Daphnia pulex: one gene and its partner. The protein of the gene in region 1 binds, or shares a complex with, the protein of each later gene. Links are inferred from orthologs where the notes say so. Each region holds a gene or a part of one and is shown in the gene's direction. Other genes may lie near its edges.

Region 1 (3,602 bases):
GATCATTGCCAAATTGTCGCAGATGGAAGGCTGGAACACGCTGTCGCCCATCCAGCAGCAGCAGGTGGTTAACCAGCACATGGCAAACATGCCGCATCCACTCCCGGGTGATCCTGTCCTCCAGCAATTGCGGCTCCAGATGGAGGCTCAAGCTAAACTCCAAGCTGAAATGATTCAGCTTCAGCGCAGCAAAGAACAGCATCAGCAGCAGCAACAACAACAACAGCAGCAGTCTGTGCACTCTTTAGTCAACCATCTCAGCCAGCAGCATCATCAGCAACCGCAAGCAGTATTAGAGCAGCCAGCTCTTGCCAACAATCCCAACAACCTGATGAAGTCTCATGATCCGATTCAGGCGTTTATCCAGCAGTTGCTGGGGCAATCGAAATCGCCCCCGGCCGTCGTTTCGAAACCTCCTACCAGCTCCATCATGAATAACCCTAAACCACAAGAAGCCCAGGTTGTCCTGGATCCCATCCAAAGTCTCATCCAACAAGCTCAATGGAACGCCAATCATGTAGCGGCCCAAAGTGTTGGTGGAACCATCGTTGATCCAGTGATGGGCAATCACGTGGCGCCGGGCTTCCATGGACTGCCTCCTGGCGTCGGTGTTCCCTGGCACAATCACTCTGCGCTCTTCCAGGCCGGTCCTGCAGAGCTTCAGCCGCCCATGACGTCCGTTTGGGATCTTGAAAGCGCCAAGGTCGAGGAAGCAAAGCGCCAAATGGAGCAACAACATCAACAGCAAATGGCCGCCGAAATGCACCGCAGGGAGATGGAGGAGAAGCGGATGAAAGAGGAGGAAGAAGAACGTCGACGACGACTTGAAATTCAAGTAAATATTTAGAAATAAAGCTGCGAATGTTTGTGTTTTTAATTTTTAACTTTTCTTGTTGCAGGAGAGGGAGGAAGAGAGGATGAGGATAGAAGAGATGCGAAGGGAGACGGAACGACAGCAGCAAGCGGAAGAAATGAGGAGGAGAGAGCTGGCGCAACAACAGCAGCAGCAACAACAGCAAATGCAAGCCATGGAAGAGAAGCGGCGGCGCGAGGAGGAGAAGCGCAAACGAGAGGAGGAGTTGAAACAACAGCAACTGGAAGAGGAAAGGATCCGGCGAGAAGAAGAAAGGATCCGGAAAGAGGAGGAGAAGGCGGCCGAACAACACCGCCGCCAGCAGGAAGCCCTTCAGAGGCTTCAGGAGCAGCAAGCCGTGGCTCAGGCTCAGGCTAGAGCGGCCGCCCAGCAAGCGGCTGCTGCAGCCGCCGCCGCCGCTCAACAACAGGCGCAGGCTCAAGCTCAGGCTAAAGCTGCTCAGGCCATGATGGCTCCGTGGGCCCAACAACAGCAGCAGCAGCAACAACAGCAACAGCAAACCGGTGAATCGCTGAGCATGGCTGAAATTCAAAAGTTGCAGGAAGAAAAGGAAGCCAAAGAAAGGGCAATCGCCCAGGCCCAAAAGGCCGAGCAGGCGGCTCGTGCGGCCGCTCTTTTACAGCAGCAACAACAGCAAGCGGCCATTAAGCTCCGCTGGGCCAAACAAAACACTCCGACCCCATCCAACGCCAAGTCTCTGGCCGAGATTCAGGCCGAGGAGGCAGCTCAACTTGCCCAGCAAAAGGAGAAGGAAGCCAAAGAAAAGGCCAACCAGCAGGTGAACATGGCGCACCTGAATCTGGCGGCAGCCAGCGCTTGGGGGTCATCGCACCACAGTAATTCGGCTTGGAGTTCTGGCCGGACTGTTGCCGCTGTTGTGGCCCAACAGCAACCCCCACCACCTCCCCCTTCGGCGGCAGCGGCGACGGCGGCCACCACCACCGCCAAAACCAATCATTCCACCACCACGAATGCCGACTGGAAAATTGGCCTGACGGTTGGTTTCTGGGAGGATCCAACCCCTCCACCTCCAAAGGCCACGAGCAAACCGGCTCAGCAGCAAGCGGCGGCCAAGTCTGCTGGCGGTGGTGGTGGCAAGTCTGCTGCGGCGGCTGCGGCGTCCAAGCAGCCGCAACAACAAGCAGCGGGAGCTAAGCAACAACAACAACAACCGGCCACTTCCAAAACGTCGGGTTCGACGACGACGGCGGCGGCGTCGAACAACAAGAACCGCAGTAATAAGGAGGAAGAAGCGGTTCGCAAGCTGTTTAATCAAACTGCCGCCGCCGCCGCTGAAAAGAAGGATAGTTTTAGTCAGTGGTGTTTTGAGTACCTGAAGAAAGTCCAGGCACAGATTGATGTGCCCACATTTGTCGCCTTTCTCAAGGTACAGTTAATCTTTTGAGTCGGGTCGTTAATGTTTCTTGACTACATTTTTTTTTCTTGATTACATTTATTACAGGACGTGGAATCTCCATTTGAAGTCCAGGAGTATGTTCGCTTGTATCTTGGCGAGGGCAAAGACGCCAAAGAGTTCGCCAAGCAATTCCTTGATCAACGTTCTCGTTGGCGCCAGATGCAAAGAAACGTCCAGCAATACGAAGAGGACAACATGTGCATCCCGGCCAAAGCCATAAATCCGGGACAATCATCTGACTTCCATGAAGTTAAAGTAATTATTTAAAAATAAAAGATAAAACGTTGTCTCTACCATTTCACTAATGAAAATGTTCCGTTTTAGTCTAAATCCAAGAAGTCTAAGAAGAAGATGCAGAAAGTGGATGCCAGTTTGTTGGGATTCAGCGTTTCTGCTTCGACGGATCGCATCAACGTCGGTGAGCGCGATTTCGTGGACGGCATGTGAATCATTGTTAAAGAAAGCCAAAAAAAAAAGATAAAATCAACGACCACACACGACAAGAGACGAGTTCAAACTTATAAAGCAACCAATATGATTATTGTTTATTGGGGTTTAGGGATGGACAATTAAGATGTCGACACACAACAAGTTTTACGCAACAAACACACCAACAGCAACAATTTCAAAACGTCTTGAGTGTGGAAAGTTGGTGGGCAGCAATAAAAGTTAACAAAAATATAAACGTGATCAAGTTCTTTTCGTTATCCCTCACCAGCAGAAAAGAATCAGGGCTGGACATTTTGTTCTGTTACAATTTTTCGGCACTGAATCAAAAAATATCAATTTGATCTTGGTCACGAATCAAATACAAACATCTTAAAAAAAAATTGTTTTTCAATTCTCGTAGCATTTCCTTTAACGTTTAGTTCATTAGTATAAGCACCGCATGAGTGCCAACTTGTTTAATGTTTTCGTGGGATTGTTTGTTTTTTTTCCGTACAAAACACAAAAATTTTAAGAGTTTCCACGGGAAATTTGGTAACTTTAATTTTGTTGGATAGTTTCCAAAAGGGTATTCTTTTTCTCGAGATTTCCGGATGTTTCGTTCAATATTCTCATTGATTTTGACCACAATTCAAAAGAAAAACGTGATGAAATAGTTTTATTGATTTCTCATGGGTAAATAGCTAAAAGCAGTTTCCGAAAATAGAAATATAATTTAGAAAAATACAAGGATAAAATATAATTTAGCAGCAGCTTTTTTTCACAAAGAAATAAAATTATAAATAATCTTTTTTTAAATATGGCACTAATAACCCCGAATTGGCAACGTTGTAAATCGATCACCTCGTGTAGGATTGTTCCAGA
Region 2 (3,751 bases), about 700 kb from region 1:
GCAATGATATATTTAAAACACACACACACACACGATGCATTCGGCCTTTGATTCAATTGTTGAAAGATGAACAAGCCAATCAACATGTTCCTCCATTTTTGTGATACTTAGGCAATTCATATGATCACCAACCATTATTTGCTTGCTTTTTTTCATAACATACCACTATTAATGAATTGTGGGAAAGCTATTATACAATTTGTAAAGAGTGTTTCAATCACATGCGTTTCTTCAATTTCTATTGCATTTCTACTAACTCCACGATGTGCAGCAATTTTATAGATTATTAACTCACGCCTAGTCCCTATGACGTGCCTTTTTTTATTGATAGAGAATTAAATAATAAACGATATTTTTAAACAACACCTGATCTTCATTCATTTAATAAATAATAAAAATTATCGAATTAATATAATTGAAATTCCCTAGATGCTCTACAATTTGGCGACGTGGAACTCAATATACCTATCCTCCCGCCTCCCCCCTTAAGCCAGGCACGAGTAAGCCCTGAAGGGATGTTTCATTACCTCTAACCGCCACCAGGAGGACTAAACAGAGACTTCGACTACTATCTCTACTCAGATCCCTTTCGACTCTCGCGCAAAATAGATAGACATTGTTCCCGAACATTGACACACTTGTTAATTATTTTCCAATTTAGTCAACATCTTCGTAAGGTTGGTATATTTTCTTCTCTTAATTTCTTCATTTTGAGTGATGTCAATTGTTGAATATTATCCAAGTTTTGTTTTGCTTGCTCTAACTTGTTTGTCACGACCCTCCCCCTATCTGTGGACTGACTCACTCACAAACAGTCGCTGCTTTGCTTTCGATGCGTAGAGCGCCATAGTGAACACTGTTTCTCAGATAAACCAATTCTTTATCCGTTGACATCCTTGCTCGTGTTTAAAAACTTGTCTATTATATCTCAACTACTGGTCTACTAGGTCAGTTTGTCATTTGCTGAGATTTATTTTATTCGAAATTGAATGCTTCAGTGTTACACGATCAAAAGTCTTTGTGTATATGGACGCCGATTCTGTTGACTTACCGCCATTGACAGATTCGATTTTTCTCATTTTATTTCAGGTTTAGTAAGCGACGTTTGTATGTGCACAGAAGACTGAAGCCATAGTTCCTGCTTCTTTGGTTTCACGTTATTTTCGTTTGCAGAAATCGTTCGCCTTCGTTGGAGAAACTTAAGTTCAAGTGATCGTTGTTGAAGAAGGAATTCGGCATTTTGCTCGAAAGTTTTGTTAAGTAAGAAGAAAAAGAAAAGAAGAGAAAACCATGGCAGAAGCCGTTGCTAGTCAGCCAAGCTTAGTGGCCAACAATCATGCCCTTTCGCCGATGAGACCCAGTCCTCAGCCGCTAATTGCGAAGCAGTAAGTCTTAAAAATCATGTGTTCTTTGTTCGTATTTCATGACTGTTTTTGTTAATATTTTAGAGAGAATAACTCTGACAATTTCTGGAAGTCTCAGTTGAAGATCCCACCCAAGGATCGTAGAAAACAGACTAGCGTAATATTCTTTCATTCAAACATCTATGAGAGTTGGGGGTTAAATTTTTGGTTTAATTTCAGGATGTTACCAACACTAAGGGAACAAGTTTTGAAGACTTTTGTCTGAAGCGTGAATTGTTGATGGGTATCTTTGAAAAGGGATGGGAGACACCTTCACCCATTCAAGAGGTTGGAATTCCTATGGCTCTGACTGGGCGTAATATCCTGGCTCGTGCTAAGAATGGAACTGGAAAAACAGGTGCTTATTGTATACCAGTATTGGAACAAGTAGTTCCGTCTGAGCAACACATCCAAGGTACTGACAAGTTTAAGTTTTTCTTACAGTTCTGGGCCTAATTTTTTTTTCTTTGTAGCATTAATTGTTGTGCCAACACGTGAACTGGCATTGCAAACAAGCCAAATCTGCATTGAACTAGCTAAACATTTGGATATTCGTATCATGGTGACTACTGGTGGTACTGACCTGAAAGATGACATTATGAGGATCTTTGGAAAAGGTATTCATTATTCCTTGTTTACTTCCATGCAAGTTTTAACAATCATTGTTTCTTCCAGTTCATGTTGTGATTGCCACTCCTGGTCGTGTTTTGGATCTGATGGAAAAGAAGATTGCGGTAATGGACCGTTGTAAGGTCCTTGTTTTGGATGAGGTATGTGGGAATTATTAAGAGTTCTGTTAGACGATTGTTCTTATTCTTTTGTGTAACTAGGCTGACAAACTGCTCTCTCAAGACTTCATGGGAATGTTGGATCGTATAATTTCGTTCCTACCAGCCAAGCGCCAAATTTTGCTTTATTCGGCAACTTTCCCTGTAACTGTCGAGGAGTTTATGGTAGGTTTATTGGTTCTTGTAATTTGGTTCTTGATTTAACAATGATTGTATCCACAGAGGAAACACATTGATAACCCATATGAAATCAATTTGATGGAAGAACTAACACTGAAAGGTGTCACGCAATACTACGCTTTTGTCCAAGAACGGCAAAAAGTGCACTGCCTCAATACGCTGTTTTCTAAAGTAAGTAAAGGTTTATTTAGATTTTCAGTATAAGACTGATGAGTTATTGTTGGATTCCCCTTCTCTCGTCTGAGAGAAAATCAACACCTGATTTTACTTGAATTAATTTTAACTGCTGTGTTTTAAAGTCACGATATTAATATCTGTGTTGATATTATAGTTGCAGATCAATCAAAGTATTATCTTCTGCAACTCCACTCAACGTGTGGAACTTTTGGCTAAGAAGATCACTGAGCTGGGCTACTCGTGCTATTACATTCATGCCCGTATGCAGCAAGCTCACAGAAACCGCGTCTTCCATGATTTCCGTAATGGGCTGTGCCGTAACCTCGTGTGCTCCGGTAAGATTTGCTTCATCTTTGTAATGTTAAGTGCTCGACTGTTATGATGAACTTTTTGTTGGATTCCCCTTCTTTCGTCTGAAAGAAAATCAACATCTGATTCATTTAATAATGTGAAGCCAAGAAGAGAAAAGGATGTTGAAACTAATCTTTTGCGTTTTTATAACAGATTTGTTCACTCGTGGTATTGACATTCAAGCTGTGAACGTGGTCATCAACTTCGACTTTCCCAAGATGGCTGAAACTTACCTGCACAGGATTGGTCGTTCGGGTCGGTTTGGACACCTGGGTATTGCTATCAATCTGATTACTTATGAAGATCGTTTCGCCCTGCATCGCATTGAGAGTGAACTTAGCACTGAAATCAAGCCCATTCCTAAGGTTAGTCTTGGATATCTCGTGCAAGTATTCATTGTATTTACATTGTTTTATTTTTTCAATGAAGGTCATTGACAAATCCCTCTACGTGGCCGAGTTCCAAGAAGATTCCGAGGAGCAATCAGGAAAGTAAAAAGGCGAGAGAATGTCTTCGAAAAGCGCATGCATCACACAACGTCATGATAGGACACAAAAAAAAATTGAGAAAAAAGAAAAGAAAATGAATCCTGTAAGTGAAATTTATGAAAGGTCGTTCACTGGGACCAATGTATTGAAGATCAGAATTAATGAAAAGCACTCATTAGCAATTGGAGGAGTGCTGCAGCATGTAGGGAAAAAAACCATTGTACAAGAGTAAAAACAAGGATAACTTTAAGCATGCGCTATCGAAAGACTGTTGTAAATATGTAAATTCTCACGGTGGCGAAGAGCCAGTTTTTTTTTCAGTTTAGGAGAAAAGTTTTTGTTTTGTTTTTTTGGGTACAATGTT

Evidence for each region.
Region 2: the proteins of GRB10-interacting GYF protein 2-like (region 1) and ATP-dependent RNA helicase me31b-like are in contact, whole or in part, in a crystal structure (PDB 6S8R), measured with the Drosophila melanogaster proteins. The link is inferred for Daphnia pulex from reciprocal best matches to the Drosophila melanogaster genes Gyf and me31B. Residues at the interface, in NP_001162827.1 of Drosophila melanogaster: Glu344, Asn345, Pro347, Glu348, Trp349, Ala350, Ile351, Glu352, Pro354, Ser355, Lys356, Leu357, Gly358, Gly359, Ser360, Phe361, Asp362, Ala363, Ser364, Gly365, Ala366, Phe367, Gly369; in NP_523533.2 of Drosophila melanogaster: Tyr274, Ala275, Phe276, Val277, Glu279, Arg280, Gln281, Lys282, Val283, His284, Cys285, Thr288, Leu289, Ser304, Thr305, Gln306, Arg307, Leu310, Leu311, Lys314, Glu317, Leu318, Phe370, Pro420, Ile421, Lys423.

The regions. Positions count from the first base shown.
Region 1 is NC_060018.1:13,102,163-13,105,764, forward strand, and holds the end of GRB10-interacting GYF protein 2-like, read left to right. Parts: coding exon 1-835; intron 836-899; coding exon 900-2,261; intron 2,262-2,336; coding exon 2,337-2,546; intron 2,547-2,615; coding exon 2,616-2,738; 3' UTR 2,739-2,961; downstream 2,962-3,602.
Region 2 is NC_060018.1:12,397,838-12,401,588, reverse strand, and holds ATP-dependent RNA helicase me31b-like, read left to right. Parts: upstream 1-1,290; coding exon 1,291-1,385; intron 1,386-1,448; coding exon 1,449-1,521; intron 1,522-1,583; coding exon 1,584-1,818; intron 1,819-1,876; coding exon 1,877-2,020; intron 2,021-2,078; coding exon 2,079-2,173; intron 2,174-2,233; coding exon 2,234-2,356; intron 2,357-2,413; coding exon 2,414-2,542; intron 2,543-2,702; coding exon 2,703-2,883; intron 2,884-3,052; coding exon 3,053-3,264; intron 3,265-3,328; coding exon 3,329-3,394; downstream 3,395-3,751. UniProt on the Drosophila melanogaster protein: ATP-dependent RNA helicase which is a core component of a variety of ribonucleoprotein complexes (RNPs) that play critical roles in translational repression and mRNA decapping during embryogenesis, oogenesis, neurogenesis and neurotransmission.